Linked DNA regions of Canis lupus familiaris. The protein of the gene in region 2 interacts with the protein of the main gene of each other region in a biochemical or structural test. Links are inferred from orthologs where the notes say so. Each region holds a gene or a part of one and is shown on either strand. Other genes may lie near its edges. The genes, in order: TUBB2A, HDAC6 and ISG15.

Region 1 (3,748 bases), on a different chromosome or scaffold from region 2:
CCAGTCATTTTTAGCAGCTGACACTTTAAATGCATGCAAGCAGCCTCTCTGTGCCGGGGCCACCGGCTGTCCCTAGGACACTGCGTCTGCCCCAGCGTGCAAAGCAGGGGGACTGGGCAGAAAGCATGGCTCATCACCTGCAGCTTCATTGTAGTACACGTTGATTCTCTCCAGCTGCAAGTCGCTGTCTCCATGGTAACTGCCGGTGGGGTCGATCCCGTGCTCGTCACTGATGACCTCCCAAAACTGGGGAAGGACACACAGGTCAGGGAGGGGGCTGGCACCCTGGATGCCAGTGAGGAGGGCGGCCCCTGGGTCCCCTCCCTGTCCTTGGAGCAGGGGCCCCGTGGGGGCGGGGGGGGGGGGGGGCCTAGAGCTGCACCCGTGTGCTGCGGGGGCTGCCGCAGGGGGGCTCGTCGGGGCGCAGGGCGGCGGCCCCTCCCCCAGGCTGCCAGGGGCACTGCCCCGGGAGGGGGGGCGCGGCGGAGGCCCCGGCAGGGAGAGCCCCGGATGCTGGGGAGGCGGGCGCCCCCGGCAGGGCTGAAGGTCACAGCCGCCCCTGATGGGCAGGGAGGCCTGCGGAGACCCCGCCCCGCCACTGCCTCGGGGATGCGTGCTCCTGCTCGGGGTGCAAACCCCACCCAGCCCTGCAGGCAGCAGCCGGGACCTCGGACAGCAGCGGGCGGGTCGCCCTGTCCCCGCGGGGGCCGGTGGGGAGGGGTGGGGGAGAGGAGAAGGGTAGCGGTGAGGACGGAGGGGGGGAAAGGGCAGGGGCCGGAAGAGCGGCAGCCCTACAGAGTAGGGGGGGAGGGGGGAGAAGAGGGAGGGAAGAAGGGAGGAGGATGGGGAGAGGAGAGTGGGAGCGGCAGCCCTGCGGGGGTCGGTGGCTGGAGCCGGGCGCTGGGAGGGCGCAGCTCCGTGTGAATGTGCAGCGGCGGGGGGGGGGGGGGATGAAGGAGAGGCGGGGGGAGGCGGGGGAAGAGGCGGGGGGTGCGGAGGGGAGCGCCGGGCCCTAGGAGAGCCGCGGCCTCACCCCCCCGCCCCGCCCCCCCCGCCGCGGTCCGAGCCAGGGCCCCGCACCTGCCACCAGCCCACAGGCAGCGGCCCGCGACAGTGGGGCTCGGCGTCCATGGCGCCCCTGTAGGCACCGAGCATCCTGGTCTTTGTAACCTAAAAAGAAGTCCCTCTAGCTCGCCACCCCAATGACACTGCATTTTTTCATTCAAACTATAGAGGGACATACACAATCGAATTAAGCTGCGCTCCAGGCCACTGGCAGCGCGGCGGCTCGCCCACCCCAGCGCCTGGGCAGCGGCCGGGAGTCCTAAGGGCCCGTGAGCGTGAGCCCCACTGCGGCTCCGCGGGCCCGGGCAGGTCGGGGCGCTCCCCGCCGCGCTCACAGGCGCCACCGGGGCCCACGGCCGCCCACACCTGGCCCCGGCCCGCCCCCGCCCCCGCCCGCACCCTGGGGCCCGCCGCCCCTCCCCCTCCCCTGCCGGGATCCGCACCCTGAGGTCCTGGCGCCCCTCCCCCTCCCCTGCAGGGATCCGCACCCTGAGGTCCCGCCGCTCCTCCCCCTCCCCTGCCGGGTCCGCACCCTGAGGTCCTGGCGCCCCTCCCCCTCCCCTGCCGGGTCCGCACCCTGAGGTCCTGGCGCCCCTCCCCCTCCCCTGCAGAGATCCGCACCCTGAGGTCCCGCCGCTCCTCCCCCTCCCCTGCCGGGTCCGCACCCTGAGGTCCCGGCGCCCCTCCCCCTCCGCTGCAGGGGTCCGCACCCTGAGGTCCCGCCGCCCCCTCCCCGTCCCCGCCCGGGTCTGCACCCTGAGGTCCCGCCGCCCCCTCCCCTTCCTCTGCGGGGTCCGCACCCTGAGGTCCCGCCGCCCCTCCCCCTCCCCTGCCGGGGTTCGCACCCTGAGGTCCCGCCACCCTCTCCCCCTCCTCTGCCGGGTCCGCATCCCTCGGAGCCCGCCGCCCCCTCCCCGCCCCCGCCGGGTCCGCACCCTGAGGTCCCGCCGCTCCTCCCCCTCCCCTGCCGGGTCCGCACCCTGAGGTCCTGCCGGCCCCTCCCCCTCCTCCACTCGGATCCGCACCCTGAGGTCCCGCCGCCCCCTCCCCGTCCCCGCCCGGGTCCGCACCCTGAGGTCCCGCCACCCTCTCCCCCGCCCCCGCCGGGGTCCGCATCCCTCGGAGCCCGCCGCCCGCTCCCCGCCCCCGCCGGGTCCGCACCCTGGGCCCCGGGCGCGCCCACCTTGGCGCCGATCTGGTTGCCGCACTGGCCGGCCTGGATGTGCACGATCTCACGCATGGTGCGGGCTGCAGGCGGGCGGAGGCGCGGCCCGGGGAGCAGAGCGCGGCGCAGCCGGCGGAGTCCGCAGCAGAGAGCAGTCGCCGCCCCCCGCCCCGCCCTTTATAGCGCGGGAGGCGCCCCCGCCGGGCCCGCGGTGACGTAATGGGGCGGGGCGGGGGGCGGGGCGGCGGGGACTGCGGCACCGCGAGGGGGAGCCGGGGCGCGGTGCGAGGTGCGCGGCGCGGGGCTGGCCGGGCGCGGGGCTCGGCTGCCGGCGCCCCCTCCCGTGGCTCCGGGCGCCCGAGGCGGGCTGGGGGCGCGGGTCCCAGACGGGGGAGGGGCCTCGGCGGGGTGCGGGGCTCCTGCCTGCGCGGGGCCTGGAGCAGGTGCGGATCCGCAGCCAGGGTGCGGGACGGACTAGGGGGAGGGGCTCCGGGGACCGCAGGTGCCACCGCGTCGGGAAGACGGTGGGTGTGCGAGGGGCTGCGCTGGCCCCGCGCATCCCCTGGGCTCTTGGGCCCTGGTAAGGGCCGTGCAGCTGCGGCGAGTTCTGCGCGGGGCCTGCGTGCCACGGAGGATGCCAGGGGCCTCAGCCCCGGATCCCGAGCCCTCCACGCGCTGTGTCACCTAATCCCCGCGGCCTCCTTCCAGGGCCGCGCAGCCCCGTTCAAAGGCCACCACGCGCGACTCCTGAACGCTTGAGATGTGCCCTAGGCGCTGTGCGTGTAAGTCAGTCACTGCATTTCATGGACTCAGTAAGTTAAGCGACTTACTAATTTTGCATATTGATAACACATCAAAATACTATTTTGGATATAGGTTTTAATTCATTTTTTTTTCTTTTACCTTCTTAAATGACTACTACAAGGGCAGCCCGGGTGGCTCAGCAGTTTAGTGCCACCTTCCACCCAGGGCGTGATCCTGGAGACCCTGGATGGAGACCCCGGTCGGGCTCCCTGCATGGAGCCTGCTTCTCCCTCTGCCTGGGTCTCTGCCTCTCTCTCTCTCTGTGTCTCTCATGAATAAATAAATAGAATATTTTTTTTAATGACTACTACACTAGTAGCGACTACTGGAAAATTTTGTTACCTGAGTGACTCACATTGTATTTCCAGTGAACAGCCCTGCTCTAGAGTAGACGTAATTACTGTCCCAATTTCGGCGAAGGAGCCTCAAAGAGCTGAGTAGCTACAAAGCCAGTAAGTGAAGGCACCTCGAGTCCTTCCACAAAGACAAAGCCCAGGTGAGTTTTAAAGGCTTGGTCAGGGTGAGGTAACATCCAGTCTTGATTGTTCTCAACGATGATCCTGAGCGTTGGGCCAGGTGAGCGGGGACCTGGGGACGGTTTCTGTTTCCCTGCACATACTCCTTTTCCTCTCTGGGGCCAGTTTCTCCAACCATAAAATGATGATAATTATAGGTGCCCTGCCGCCAGCTTTGTGAGTAGGAAATGAGAAGCTC
Region 2 (3,748 bases):
AAGGGTCATAGGGCCAGGCTACTGGGTGGTGGGGCTGTCAATCTATTTGTTAGTCAGCATGCTGAACCCCAGACCGCTTATCTCTTCAGCCCCAGCCTACAGCCCGGTAGGAAATGGTGAAGAATGAGAGAGGGAGATTAGGAGGACAAACCGGCCTCCTGCGGAGCTGATATTTAGACATCTAGACAAGGGGTGTGAGGGAGTTGGAGGGGCACACGGGTGCAACTCCCCCTACTTCCCAGGCACACGCTTTCCCTACAGCTTGGGGGCAGAGGTTACCCAATGGAGAGGGCTGGAGGGAGAACTGCCATCCAAGAAAAACTCTCCATGAGTCTATTCAAGCCCCGGGCACTATTATCACAATTTGCCAGATGAAGAAACCGAAGCACATAGATGTTCAGCAACTTGCTAAGGGTCACATGGCTAAGTCGTGTAACCTCAGTTTCCTTATCTCCAAAGCAGCCTTAATAATAGGAACTACCTCACAGAATTGTGGCTTACGACAGTGCCTGTCACATATTACTTGCTATCATCACGACTGCACTCAGTAAACCTCCTTCCATCCTACCAACCATATTCCCAGCAGAATAGCAGCAGCTAACATTTAGTGAGTGCTTCCTGTGGGCCACCTTAGTGAATATTAACTCGGAAAAGCCTCACAGCATTTAACATCGTCACCACTCCCATTCTGGCCACCACCAGCCATCCTCCAATATCCACCGCGCTCCGGGGCCCTGCCGCCGGCCCGCCCGCGCTACGTCATCACAGCGCGCCGCGCAGGAAGCCACCGGGAGAAAAGAAACCGCCCCTTCCTAATTCCCTCGCTTGCTTGTTTGCTCTCTTGAGTCATCGTACAGGACAACTGGCGCGGGTCCGGAGGACTCCTAAGGTGACCGGACAAGGATCGAGAGACAGCGGCCACGGGAGCCAGGACGGCAGCGGCGGTGGTTGGGGGAGGGGCGGGCTAGAGCCTGAGCGCCACCTCGAACCGCGGGGGCACGCTTCACGCAGGCGCAGCACAGCCAGCGTCGCGCGCTGACGTACCCACGGCGTTTGTGAGCTCGCGGGAAGTATGGCCCGCCTGAAGGGCGCGGCCCTGAGCACCGACACACAGTGTAGGCGGATCGGGGCGGGCAGTAGAGAGACCGGCCCAATGGAAAAGAGGGCCTCAAGCACCCGCCGTCCCGCAGGTCGCCAGGAATTTGGCGGCGGGAGCCCTGGGCGGAGTTTGAAAAAAGGGCTGCGCTCAGTGAGTGGAGCCGAAGGGATTGGTCGGCGTCGGCTGTGGGGTCGGAAGGGGGAGGGGACTGGTGGGAGGCGGCCTGAAACTGGCTGAAGGGATTTGCTGGAGCTTGAGGGTAGGGTTTGAGCAGGGGGTGGGATCTGGTGGAAGGAAAGGGGCAGTTCCCCGAGGAGCGAGGCTCGTTGAAACGTTAGGGGCGGGATCTGGCCAAGTGGAAGGTGTCGGTCCAGCCTGATAAGGGGTGGAGTTAAGTGGATCGTTAAGGGTGGAGTCGGGGCCGGAGCGGGGTCTGGGTCTGGCTGAGTGAAAGGGTGGGTGATTATTCTGGGAGATTAGCTGGAAGGGGCAGATTTGTGAAGGGGTGGGGTCTTGGCGAGGCTTGGAGGAATGAAAGAGTCTGGGAATGTGATTTGGGGGAGCGGAAAGGGCGGTGATTAGCTGGAAAGGGCCGGCGCTAGGACGGACTGAGCCTGGGGACTTATTGCTCCGCGAAAGGGCAAGACTTTTAAAGGGGAAAGAATAGTGTTAAGGGGGTGGAGCCTACTGGGATGGGCGGGACCAGGTGGAATGGACACCCCAGTGGAAGGAGAAGGCCTTGAAAGGGGTGGAGTTTAGAAGGCGGTGGGGAGTAGGATAGCAGAAGGGATGGAGACTGTATAGGGGGCGGGGTCTGGGAGGCCCTCAGGGCACTCCAGCCTGTTCGTAGTCACCGCCACCCCACCCCCCAGAGCCGCATCAGGGGTGAAGTCTCCCCGACCATGACCTCCACCGGCCAGGATTCCACCACAACCAGGCAGCGAAGGAGTAGGCATAACCCCCATTCGCCCCCCCACGACTCCAGCGTCACCTCGGTGAGGCCCCAAACCTGCCTGATGGGGGGGAGGAGCAGTAGGCCGTGCCCTGGAATCTGACCCTTCTCTCTGTTTGGCAGAAGCGAGGTGTTAAGAAGGGTGCCTTACGCCACTCCAGCCCTAGTCTAGCAGAGGTAAAGAAGAAAGGCAGAATGAAGAAGCTCAGCCAAGCAGCAGAGCAAGACCTAATCGTGGGCCTGCAAGGGCTGGTGAGAGTGGCCTGGGCTCAATGGATTTAGCTTCCTGTGACAATCAGAATCCTGTGGTTCTCCCTCCTGGACAGTGTGTGTTCCTTCTGACTCGGGCCCAAAGTGGATCGGTTTCTCCCCTTTTTTTCTCCCTGCAGGATCTGAACCTTGAGGCCAAGACACTTTGTGGCACTGGCTTGGTGTTTGATGAGCAACTAAATGAATTCCACTGCCTCTGGGATGACAGGTGAGGCTGGCTCCTCCAGACGGTACCCTAACCACAAAAATAAATGCCCTTAGAGCCCATTAGCAAGAACGAAGCCATTCTTATGCTAGCCTGGAGACTGGCAGCAGATGATTTCAAGTGGGGAGGCTTAGGCTTGAAAAGATTCTTTTCATTTGGCCAACACCTCCTGAGTATGCACTGTGTTCCAGGAGTTGGTGATACAGACATGTCAGACCAGACAGACAGGGCCCCTTCTCTAGGAGCTGTTAGTTGAGTAGGAGAGCAAATCATTAAACAGCCAACAGCAGTGTGAAGTATTTAACGAAGGATAACCCCAGACTAGGGGATTCAAGAGTGTTTGATAGAGGACCCTAGACTAGCATTCCGGGGTTCGCAGAAGGCTTCCTTGAAGAAAGGATATTTCATGCAGAAATGCAAGAATTTATACCTCCCATTTGCTCACACATGTTGTAATTCTTTTGGCTCTGTGTTGGAAATGTATTCAGTACCTGACCTCTCCTTACCACCTCCACTGCCACCACCACCATCACTTACCTAGACTTGGCCGAGGCCTTCTCCTTGGCTGCCTGCTTTCACCCTCACCCTGCTGTCTGTTCTCCACATGGCAGCCAAAGAAAACCAAAATACGTGTGAGATGATGTTGTCTCTCTCTTTTTAATTACTTTTTAACTGAAGTATAGTTGACATACTGCATTACATTAGTTAGAGTCCTGTTCTCTTTTTTAGAATCCTTCAAGGGTATACCATTGCCCTCAAGGTAAAGTCCAGATTCTTCATTCTGGCCTATAACATACCACGTGATCTGGCTCCACACCACTTCAGTGACCTCATCAGCCAGTCACTCGCGTAGCTTCATTTCACCCACACTGGTCCCCCTGCTGTTCCTCCAGCATCGCCAGGCACTCTGTCAGCTCGGGTCTTTACCCTGGCTGGCCCCCTCTTCCAGAAACTCATTTCCACCTCCTCCTCACCCAGTTAACATTCCCATCTCAAGGAGACTTGCTCCAAGAGGTCTTTGTCTGCTCCCCTTCCCCCACACCTGCTGTTGGAGGCCTTCCTAGTCTATATCATTGTTTGCTCATTTATCACACTTATGTGTGTATGTCCCCTCTCCCAACAGAAGACTCATGATGGCAAAAGATTTCATTCTCGAATACATGTCTGCCATCTCCTGAGGAGCTAGGGATGCCGTGGTAGACAAAACAAACAGAACCCCTGC
Region 3 (2,677 bases), on a different chromosome or scaffold from region 2:
TTATTATAGTCATGCTATAATAATAAGTGTGACATAGTATCTCATTGTGATTTTGATCTAAGTTTCTCTAATGACATTTCCCTAAGGACTAATGATGTTGAGCATCTTTTCATGTGTATTTATGTATTTTCTACAGAGAAAGATCTATTCAAACACTCGCCCAATTAAAAAAAAAAGATTTATTTATCTGTTTATTTGAGAGAAAGAGAGAGCAGGGGAGAGGCAGAGAGAAACCTGAGCAGACTCCAGGCTGAGTGCAAAGCCTGACATGGGGCTCAATCTCACAACCCTGAGATCATGACCTGAGCCAAAACAGAGTTGGCCACTTAACCAACTCTGCCACCCAGGTGCCCCCATTTGCCCAATTTTTTATTGAATTGTTTATATTTTTTATAGTTCAGTTCTAAGAGTTCTTTATATGTTATGGACACCAGATCCTTATCTGACTTATGATTTGCAAATATTTTCTTCCATTTTGAGAAAAGCCTTTTCACTTTCTGGATAGTGTTCATGAATTCATTTTTATAGAAAATAAGAGATATATTTCTTTCATTAAACCAACAAACAAAAAACAATCTGAAGAAATACCATCCTAAACCAATGGTGATAATCTCTGGGTAGTTTGGATTGTCACTTGTTTGTTATTTCTGAATTAATTGCAGCAATGTTTTCCAAACTTACTAATTTTGCAAATTGGTAAATGGAAAGTGAATGTTTCCAGTCATTAGTTTCTGTTATGACTTCCGTGTAGCTTGTAAAGAACCTGAAGTGCTAGACACTTACGGGGGTTTCTGAATGAACACAGGGTGAGAGCATTGTCCTGAGTCTCTGGGCAGGTGGGTAATCCCAGGTCTTTATTACTGTTTTGTTTCTGCTACTCACAGGAGCATTCCCTGGGAAAAGGAAACTGAAACCGAAGCTAAATTCAGCCAATGGTCAGGCTCTCTCCCCAACACTGCCCTCTGACGTGAACAGCTCAGGTTCATAAAAGGGCTGAACAGGAGAGTAGCTGCAAGCTGAGAGGCAGCCAATCCATCTGTGCCCCTGGAGGACTTGATGCTGGAGCCTACAGCCATGGTAAGGGGTGTTTGACAGGCGGGGGGCAGGTGGGCTCTGTACCAGGCTCTTTTCCTATCTTACTGCTAGGGTCTTCCAAGGGTGGAGCCAGGCAAGTGGAGGTGCTCAGAGCTCCCCCAGGTCCCTAAGCATGAGGGGAGGGGCAGGGCCGCTTCTGAGATTGAGGTCTGGGTCTGGGAAAATGTGTTTTGCCAGTGTTGAATTCTGAGATCCCTTGGCATTGGCACAGGAAGGCATCTTAGTGGGCTGAGGAGGTGAGGTGATGGTCCTGGGGGATGGGCCTTTCTTCTGGAAATGCTCCCTGCTTCCCTCTAGTGCCTGGGGTTCCTTTCCTGGTGGGTGGGGAGGAGAGCACAGCTTTCCCTGTGGCCAATGATCTGCATGTAGAGGCTCCAGGACTGATGGTGAGGTTTATGAGTCTGTGTGATGCCCACAGGCTGGGAACCTGACTGTGAAGATGCTGGGAGGTGAGGAGTTCCTGGTGCCCCTGAGGGACTCTATGCTGGCATCAGAGCTGAAGCAGCAGATAGCCCTGAAAACTGGCGTGCCTGCGTTCCAACAGCGCCTAGCTACCCACCCGGCTGGCACAGTGCTGCAGGATGGGATCTCCCTCATCAGGCAGGGCCTGTGTCCTGGCAGCACAGTCCTGCTGGTGGTGAAGAACTGTAATGACCCCCTGAGCATCCTGGTGAGAAACAATAAGGGTCGCAGTATCGCCTACGAGGTCTGGCTGACACAGACTGTGGCTGAGCTCAAGCAGCAAGTGTGCCAGCAGGAGCACGTGCAGGCTGACCTGTTCTGGCTGACTTTTGAAGGGAAGCCCATGGAGGACAAGCACCAGCTGGGGGAGTATGGTCTCACACCCCAGTGCACTGTGTTCATGAATTTACGCCTGCGGGGTGGTGGTGGGAATTGGGCAGGACCAGGAGGGCAGTGCTGAGAGCCACCCACCCAAGTCCTTGACCAAGTATGGGTAATAAAAGTTGACAAAATTAAATGGCTCCTTCTGCTTGGTCCTTCCCCCAGCATCCCTCACTTCTGCATCCCTGCTGATGTGGACAGGGAGGGACAGAGGAGGAAGTGGGATAAGGAGACCCAGGGACGCTGGGTGGTCAGTAGGCTGGGGTTGCCAAGTTAAGGGACAAGACTAGTGAGATCAAAATAGAGATCTACTCCCATCCACACCTTGGACAAATTGAAGATGTCCCCACACCTTCGGGAAGTTAACTTCTAGAGAAAGAAAAGAGACACATCTGCTGGAGCCCACCTCTATCTCCAGATTGAGCCAGAATCAGCCTTTGCACAACTGGTTCCCATTCCCTACATCTGGGTCAGCAGACAGTATGGTGGGGTGGGGGGAGGTGTGGTCAGGTTCCTGCTGGGACCAGCACCCCTGGAAATGGTGAGAGGGTGAGGCCCCAGAGCCTGCCTCGGTGGGCTGTGAAGCAGGCTCCTCCAAACCAGCCAGGGCCCTGGGGCCTCATGGCCCTCCAGGATCCATCAGCCTGCCCTGTCCAGTCTGCATTGGTTTAGGGAGGGGTACGGGCAGGGCCTTGAACACACACATCACTGTCCCACAAACTGCTAAACGGAGACTATT

The links.
Region 1: of the proteins of HDAC6 (region 2) and TUBB2A, one has a biochemical effect on the other in vitro, tested with the Homo sapiens proteins (2 studies listed by BioGRID). The link is inferred for Canis lupus familiaris from reciprocal best matches to the Homo sapiens genes HDAC6 and TUBB2A.
Region 3: the proteins of HDAC6 (region 2) and ISG15 form a complex in vitro, tested with the Homo sapiens proteins (3 studies listed by BioGRID). The link is inferred for Canis lupus familiaris from reciprocal best matches to the Homo sapiens genes HDAC6 and ISG15.

Annotation. Positions count from the first base shown.
Region 1 is NC_049256.1:4,737,119-4,740,866, forward strand, and holds the start of TUBB2A (tubulin beta-2A chain), read right to left. Parts: upstream 2,408-3,748; 5' UTR 2,306-2,407; coding exon 2,249-2,305; intron 247-2,248; coding exon 138-246; intron 1-137. UniProt on the Homo sapiens protein: Tubulin is the major constituent of microtubules, a cylinder consisting of laterally associated linear protofilaments composed of alpha- and beta-tubulin heterodimers.
Region 2 is NC_049260.1:42,208,384-42,212,131, forward strand, and holds the start of HDAC6 (histone deacetylase 6), read left to right. Parts: upstream 1-1,055; 5' UTR 1,056-1,072; coding exon 1,073-1,249; intron 1,250-1,339; exon of another isoform or gene 1,340-1,358; intron 1,359-1,414; exon of another isoform or gene 1,415-1,554; intron 1,555-1,971; coding exon 1,972-2,094; intron 2,095-2,174; coding exon 2,175-2,303; intron 2,304-2,440; coding exon 2,441-2,529; intron 2,530-3,748.
Region 3 is NC_049226.1:56,711,761-56,714,437, forward strand, and holds ISG15 (ubiquitin-like protein ISG15), read left to right. Parts: upstream 1-920; 5' UTR 921-1,056; coding exon 1,057-1,077; intron 1,078-1,513; coding exon 1,514-2,017; 3' UTR 2,018-2,074; downstream 2,075-2,677.